Macaca mulatta: one gene and its partner. The protein of the gene in region 2 interacts with the protein of the main gene of each other region in a pairwise test. Links are inferred from orthologs where the notes say so. Each region holds a gene or a part of one and is shown on either strand. Other genes may lie near its edges.

Region 1 (4,230 bases), on a different chromosome or scaffold from region 2:
AGTACCAAGAACTATCTAAATGTGGAATGTGTAATATAACCATTTTAGAGACAGGGGTTTCCCCTGGCATCTTCTGATTTGGCCCTTGGAGAAACTCTGTTTTATTGTATCAATACCTCCACATCTGAGGTATTTTCTGAGATACAAAGGGAAAAATACACAACGTCAGATTTTTGTTTTACATCTTCACTTCAACTTCTTGCCTGGTTTCTAGGCCTTTGAATCCTTCTTAGTTCTAGCAATGACACAGTAGTTATCCTTGGGGGTGGGAGATTTGGTGGTAGTCAAGGTGAAGAAATAGCTTCTGCAGTTGAAAGAAGCTGATGTTGAGAATAGGCTTTATACTTCATAGTGGGGTTGATCTTAGAAAAATGACTTCACATCTCTTGTCCTCAATGGCTTATTTATTTATTTTATAAAATTAAGAGTACCCACCTCCCAGGTTGGAAGTAAAGATTAAAAGGTATCACTGCTCAATCCCCTAGCTCATAGGGTGAAGGCTCATGACTGATTTTAGAATCAAGGAAGCAAAGTATGAAGAGAGCCCACAGAGGCTCTGATCACTCAATGTTCTTTGGCTTTCATGAGTTCTTTTCTCAAAGTTCTTATTTGAGGTTCAGTAAGATTATTGCTCATTTCTTTTTGTTTTTTTCTGGCTTCTTGAGCTTGCCTTCTTGGTCGAGATAAGCCATGGTTTTTGGAGTCATCCTCATTTTCATAAGCTTCTCAGATACCTTGTTTGAAACATCACATCTATCCAAGTTACAGTTGTTCCCCAATGACAGGAACTGTTCTGTGCTTAACCAACTATATGTCAAGTGTCAGCAAGGTGCCTGACAAATGGGACATAGCTAGGGGATGTGTGTTGAGTGAATGGATTCATCTAAGTCTTGTTGCTCCTCAAAGTGAGTCTGAAAGGCAACCAACTAAAGAAAGAAGAAATGTAGGACTTCTTGATAACCCAAGGCCGTAACATCCACCAATACCAAGACTTAGTTTCTTCCTTGGATAGGGAAGGCTGGTTGAGTCTTAACCCAAGTGAGAACCATTGCCATTACAAGGGTTAGTCCTCCTGCTACACCACTGACCAACAGGAAAGTTTGTGTCTCCAGAGTGGAGACATCCATAAAGAGGCCAAACCCAGTCAAGGTCTAAGCATCTGATGGCTAAAATAACTTTGCTTCTTTGAAAAATAATAAAAACCTTCTGACCTCCCACCAGCAGCCAACCTGATTTCAAAGAGCCAAGAGGCATCTCAGATTCGTCAACATTCCTTTAATGAGCTGAGAAACTTTTCATGGTAAACTCAGCAGCTGAGTAACAGGATGATGGCACCACAACAGGTAGATAATCAAGGCAGGAGGTCAAAGCATTGGAGCCAACACCCACCCAGGACGGGGTATAAAAGGGCTGGGAGGAGAGGAGACCTCAGTCTCAGTGGCTCGGCGTTCCCAGCTGATCTGAAGCTCCTGTGCAGTCTCAGCCCTACACCATGACCTCCTCCTACAGCAGCTCCTCATGCCCTCTGGTTTGCACCATGGCTCCTGGAGCAAGAAATGTCTCTGTCTCTCCCATCGACGTTGGGTGCCAGCCCGGGGCAGAGGCCAACGTTGCCCCCATGTGCCTTTTGGCCAACGTGGCACATGCCAACCGAGTCCGCGTGGGGTCGACTCCCCTGGGCCGCCCCAGCCTCTGCCTGCCCCCAACCTGCCACAATGCTTGTCCCTTGCCAGGGACCTGTCACATTCCTGGCAACATTGGAATCTGTGGGGCCTATGGTGAAAACACCCTGAATGGCCATGAGAAGGAGACCATGCAGTTCCTGAACGACCGCCTGGCCAACTACCTGGAGAAGGTGCGCCAGCTGGAGCGGGAGAACGCGGAGCTGGAGGCCACACTCCTCGAGAGGAGCAAGTGCCACGAGTCCACTGTGTGCCCGGACTACCAGTCCTACTTCCGCACCATCGAGGAGCTCCAGCAGAAGGTGAGGTGTGGGATCACTTGGGCGTGCTGGGTCTGAGAAGGCAGAAGCCTTCGCAGGAGGAATCCACATAAGGTCCAGAGAGCTTTGGGTTCTTGGTTTCTCTTGGACATGAGCGTAGACACCACACGTGGAGTGGGAGCTTAGAGTATGATGCTTTGTGTGTGAACCGTCTTTCCGTTTTCCTCAGATCCTGTGCAGCAAGGCCGAGAATGCCAGGCTGATTGTACAAATTGACAATGCTAAGCTGGCTGCCGATGACTTTAGGATCAAGTAAGTCAGGTGGAGGAGGGCCAGGGTGACTCCCTCCCCACCCTCCATCCCAGTGCCCAAATACTTGTTGAGTGAGTGAATGTTTGTCCTGTCTTCCTTGCTAGATTCTCCACAGTAAAATTTTCATTACAATCAAAGCTGATGAAAGATGGAAGGGAAAACTCCTCATTAATCCAAGCATATATGTTTGTCCTCCTTCATTTATTTCCCTAAAATGGAGGATAAGGGAGCCTGAGTTCATTCACCAGGAGCAAAATGAGGGGATTTCAAGGATGAACTGAGCAAGACAGCCATTGGGTTTCATATATAAGTCAGAGAAGTCGTTTACAGATGAGTCTTTGTTCAGATTTAATTATGGAGCCCTAAGGTACCAGGCATAAGGTACCTAGGCAAAAATGAGAGAGGGGAAGACAGCTGAAAAGTAAGGCATAAGGAGCCGCAGATCACGATCAGGCACCTGGCTATTGCTTATCTTTGGTAACTGACAGTCCCCGCAATGGCACGAGTGTTGGTCCCAAGATGCATGATCTTAGGCAAGTCAGTTCATCTTCCTGAACTGCAGTTGCCACAGAATACAATGGCAAAAATGTATATTGTGCAATGTAGTGTTGTGATTGCTTCATTAGACCATGAGCTCTTTGAGAAGGGGGGCTGTGTCTAATTCACCTTCGAGGCCAGAGGGCTAAACAGTGAACAAATGAGGATCCAAGGTGGTGTGGGAGGTAGGAAGGCAGGGCAGCCGAGAGGGGCTCTTGGGGCATTCTTGTTGACCCTGTACCTCCCGTGATGGAAGGCTGGAGAGTGAGCGCTCCCTACGCCAGCTGGTAGAGGCGGACCAGTGTGGGACGCAGAAGCTCCTGGATGACGCGACCCTGGCCAAGGCTGACCTGGAGGCCCAGCAGGAGTCCCTGAAGGAGGAGCAGCTGTCCCTCAAGAGCAACCATGAGCAGGTGTGGCCCTGGCTGCTCAGACTCCCGGGGAGGGTGCTGGGCAGACAGGGGAGCTCCCTGGCCCCGGGGCTCTCAGAGCATTGTCTGGGCTCAGCTGGTATCAGGATGCAGGACTGAGGGGGGTCTGAGGGTCCAGAGGGCCTCTGTGGAAAGTGCAGACTTGCCTTGGGCACGAGGAAGGTGTCCAGGTGGGCTCTCCCCACTGCACTCTCAGCAAGACTTTCCCATTTGCTTGTGTGTGGGACTCCCCTCCCACTGCTTGCAGGGTCAGGGTCCTGGTGCTGTCTGCTCCATCAAAGGTCCTCTCTTCACACAGGCTGTCTGTCCCTTCCTCCTTTCTGCAGGAAGTAAAGATTCTGAGGAGTCAACTGGGGGAGAAGCTCCGGATTGAGCTGGACATTGAGCCCACCATTGACCTGAACAGGGTGCTGGGGGAGATGCGGGCTCAGTACGAGGCCATGGTGGAGACCAACCGCCAGGATGTAGAACAGTGGTTCCAAGCCCAGGTGAACGAGGGGTGGGTACAGAGCTGGAGAGTACCTGGCCTCCATCTGGGCAGGGAGGTGACTATGTCTCTCTGTGCTCTAGTCTGAAGGCATCAGCCTGCAGGCCATGTCCTGCTCTGAGGAGCTGCAGTGCTGCCAGTCGGAGATCCTGGAGCTGAGATGCACGGTGAATGCCCTGGAGGTGGAGCGCCAAGCCCAGCACACCTTGGTATGTGTCCTTCACCCTCACTGCACTGCAAATGCCCCATGCCATGGCCTAGTAGCCTTTTATTTTGGAGGTCTCACCGCCCAGGTTTCTCCCACCTGTTATCACCATCAAAATTTGGAGCATGTAGCAGTTTCCCTGGGGCCCTTGCACATTTTATCCCCTTATTTCCCACTACAGAAGGACTGTCTGCAGAACTCCCTGTGTGAAGCTGAGGACCGCTTCGGCACGGAGCTGGCCCAGATGCAGAGCCTCATCAGCAACGTGGAGGAGCAGCTGTCCGAGATCCGGGCTGACCTGGAGCGGCAGAACCAG
Region 2 (3,073 bases):
GTACAAAGCAGTAAAACCAGTAAATCTCATGCAAAATGTCCTTCGTTATTTTCAGCAGATTGGCCTATCTTGGTATTATTTAGTTAACAAAAATATATATATATTGAGCATCTACCATGTGCAGGCACTTTCTAGGCATTCAAAATATAGTAAACACAACAAATACCTTTTCCTTCATGGAACATACATCCTAGTAGGGAAAGACAGTATACACATAAGTATATTATATAGTATATTAGAAGAAGATAAATGCTACGTAAAAAATAAAAAAGGGTAAAAGGAGAAAGAATGACTTAATTGGATGTAGGTAGGTGGTCAAGGATATTTTCACCAAGAAAATTAAATTTGAGGAAAAGATATAAAGGAGGTAAGTGAGTGTGAGCTATGCAGATGTCTAGAGCAAAATTATTCTAGGAAATACAAATGCAAAGGCCCTAGTATTCAAGGCAAGGAGGCCAGTAGTGTTGGGATCTATCATCAAGAGGAAAAGGAAAGAAATCAGAGAGGTAATGGAGTTCCCATAAGGCATTGTGGGTACTCTGCATTTTACTCTGAGTGGGCTATTAAGAGTTTGAGCAGAGGAATACCATGATTTGGTTTAGGTTTTAAAACAGTCACTCTGGTTGGCATTTTAACAACAGATTGTGGGCTGGGCGTGGTGGCTCATGCCTGTAATCCAAGCACTTTGGGAGGCTGAGGTGGGTGGATCACTTGAGGTCAGGAGTTTGAGACCAGCCTGGCCAACATGGTGAAACCCCGTCTCTATTAAAAATACAAAAAATTAACCAGGCGTGGTGGTGCATGCAGTCCAACCTGGGTGACAAAGCAAGACTCCATCTCAAAAAAAAAAAAAAAAAAACAGATTGTAGGGGTAGATAGATAGTGGGGCTATGGGTAGAAATAGTTTTAAGGCTATTCAGGTAATTCATGTGAGAGATGATAGCGATTGGAACAGAGTGACAGAGTTTAAGATGAAGAGTAGTGGTTCAATTTTGTATATCTTTTGAAATTACAACCAAAAAGTTTGCTAATAGATTTGTGGTAGGGTGTGAGCGGGGAATGTCTCTGAGGTTTTGGGCGTGATTAATTGGAAGGAAAGATTTATGATTTACTGAGGTGAAGAAGACAGTGGGAGGAACAGGTTTTAAAGTAGGCGTTGGGGAGGAAGGTCAGGCAGTCAGTTGTGGACATGTAAAATTTGAAATGCCTTTTTGTCCAATTGACGGTACAGAGTAAGCAGTTATAAGCAACCAATGGAGTTCCACAGAGAGTGATCCAACCTACATTTCAAATTTTTGAAGTCTTTATATAGAAATGGCATTTAGAGTCTGGACTGGAAGAGATTCCTAAAGGAATTGAATAGTTAGACAAGCATTATGAGGACTGGACCAAGAACACTCTAACCTTTAGCGACAGGGAGATGAGTAGGTATTAGCAAAAAAGACTGAGAAAGGTGGTCAAAGAAGTAGGAGGAAAACTTGGAAAATAAGGCATTGGAGGCAAATGAATAAACTTTCAAGGAGGAAGGGCAATGAAGTTGTCACTAAGGACTTGACAAGACAACCTTAATGGAATGATAAGGCAAAAACGTGATAGTGGAATCAGGAGAGAATGGGAGATGAGGAATTGGAGATAGCTCTTTGGAGGATATTTTCTGTTGACGGTCCACAGAAATGGAGTGGTGACTGGAAGAGGAGAGATAAATTGTTTTTTGTTTTGTTTTGTTTTGTTTAAGATGGAAGAAATTACATCACATTTGCTGCATGATTGTGAGAGTAATCGAAGTAAATTTAGGGAAGCATTTATGAGGAAAAATAATGAGAAAATTGTTAGAGCAATGTCCTTTAATAGTACATAGATGGAAGGGTTGGCCTTAGAGAGGAAATTTTAATGGGAAAGGAGAGAATCTAGGGACATAGGTATAGGAAAGAGTGGATACAGTGGGAACTTGTGAAAGTTCTCTTCCAATTGCTTCTGTTTTTGCAGTAATAAAGGAACAAGGTTTTCAGCTGCAAAGAGCTTGGAGAATGTTAGAAGTGTCTTAAAGAAGGGGAGCATGAATGATGTAGGAATGGGTATAGTGGGATCCAGGAACCACTAAGGCCTACTTGAAGTTAATGATCATTAATAAAGTGAGATTAGTCACTTTTATCAAGCCATTTTGTTATAGTGATTGGATAATTATTGTTTAATATCAATGTGAAGACTTTATAACCTGCATAATCTTTTTTAAAAAATGTTTGTAGAGGCCGGGCGCGGTGGCTCACGCCTGTAATCCCAGCACTTTGGGAGGCCGAGGCGGGCGGATCACAACGTCAGGAGATCGAGACCACGGTGAAACCCCGTCTCTACTAAAAATACAAAAAATTAGCCGGGCGCGGTTGTGGGCACCTGTAGTCCCAGCTACTCGGGAGGCTGAGGCAGGAGAATGGCGTGAACCCGGGAGGCGGAGCTTGCAGTGAGCCGAGATCGCACCACTGCACTCCAGCCTGGGCGACAGAGCGAGACTCCATCTCAAAAAAAAAAAAAAAAAAAAGTTTGTAGATAATATAGATCTTTGGAGTTACTCATGATAATCAAAAGTGAGTATTAATATTAAATCTGCAAATGACAAGGGTCTGCTAGTTTCCTTCTTTTTTCCCCTACCCATAAATGGTTTTTAAGGTTTTATTCAGGTGCTATATAAATCCTTATTCTGCTTTTTTCACCCAATATTTTATTATATGTATTTTTTCATCCAAATTATCTTATTTTACTTTTACCATTTCTTACCCTTCAGAATGTTTCCATTGGAATTGTTGGTAAAGACTTGGAGTTTACAATCTATGATGATGATGATGTGTCTCCATTCCTCGAAGGTCTTGAAGAAAGGCCACAGAGAAAGGCACAGGTATAATCATATCACAAGAGGCTTTAGTTCTATTGTAAGCTGCTGTTCTTACCACAGCTGTATCTGTAAATTTTCCATTTTGTCTTAAATATTGAAATGGGCCCATAATTCAAATGGCAACAGGAAAATTAAGAACTGAATAAAGTTAAATATTGAAAGGGCAGTGATCTCCATAAACACAAA

The links.
Region 1: the proteins of PSMA1 (region 2) and keratin, type I cuticular Ha8 interact in binary tests that used the Homo sapiens proteins (3 or more experiments, as listed by UniProt). The two-hybrid records come from large-scale screens. The link is inferred for Macaca mulatta from reciprocal best matches to the Homo sapiens genes PSMA1 and KRT38.

What each region holds. Positions count from the first base shown.
Region 1 is NC_133421.1:65,782,060-65,786,289, reverse strand, and holds the start of keratin, type I cuticular Ha8, read left to right. Parts: upstream 1-1,430; 5' UTR 1,431-1,492; coding exon 1,493-1,984; intron 1,985-2,171; coding exon 2,172-2,254; intron 2,255-3,047; coding exon 3,048-3,204; intron 3,205-3,548; coding exon 3,549-3,710; intron 3,711-3,792; coding exon 3,793-3,918; intron 3,919-4,095; coding exon 4,096-4,230.
Region 2 is NC_133419.1:50,939,691-50,942,763, forward strand, and holds part of PSMA1 (proteasome subunit alpha type-1), read left to right. Parts: intron 1-2,779; coding exon 2,780-2,890; intron 2,891-3,073. UniProt on the Homo sapiens protein: Component of the 20S core proteasome complex involved in the proteolytic degradation of most intracellular proteins. This complex plays numerous essential roles within the cell by associating with different regulatory particles.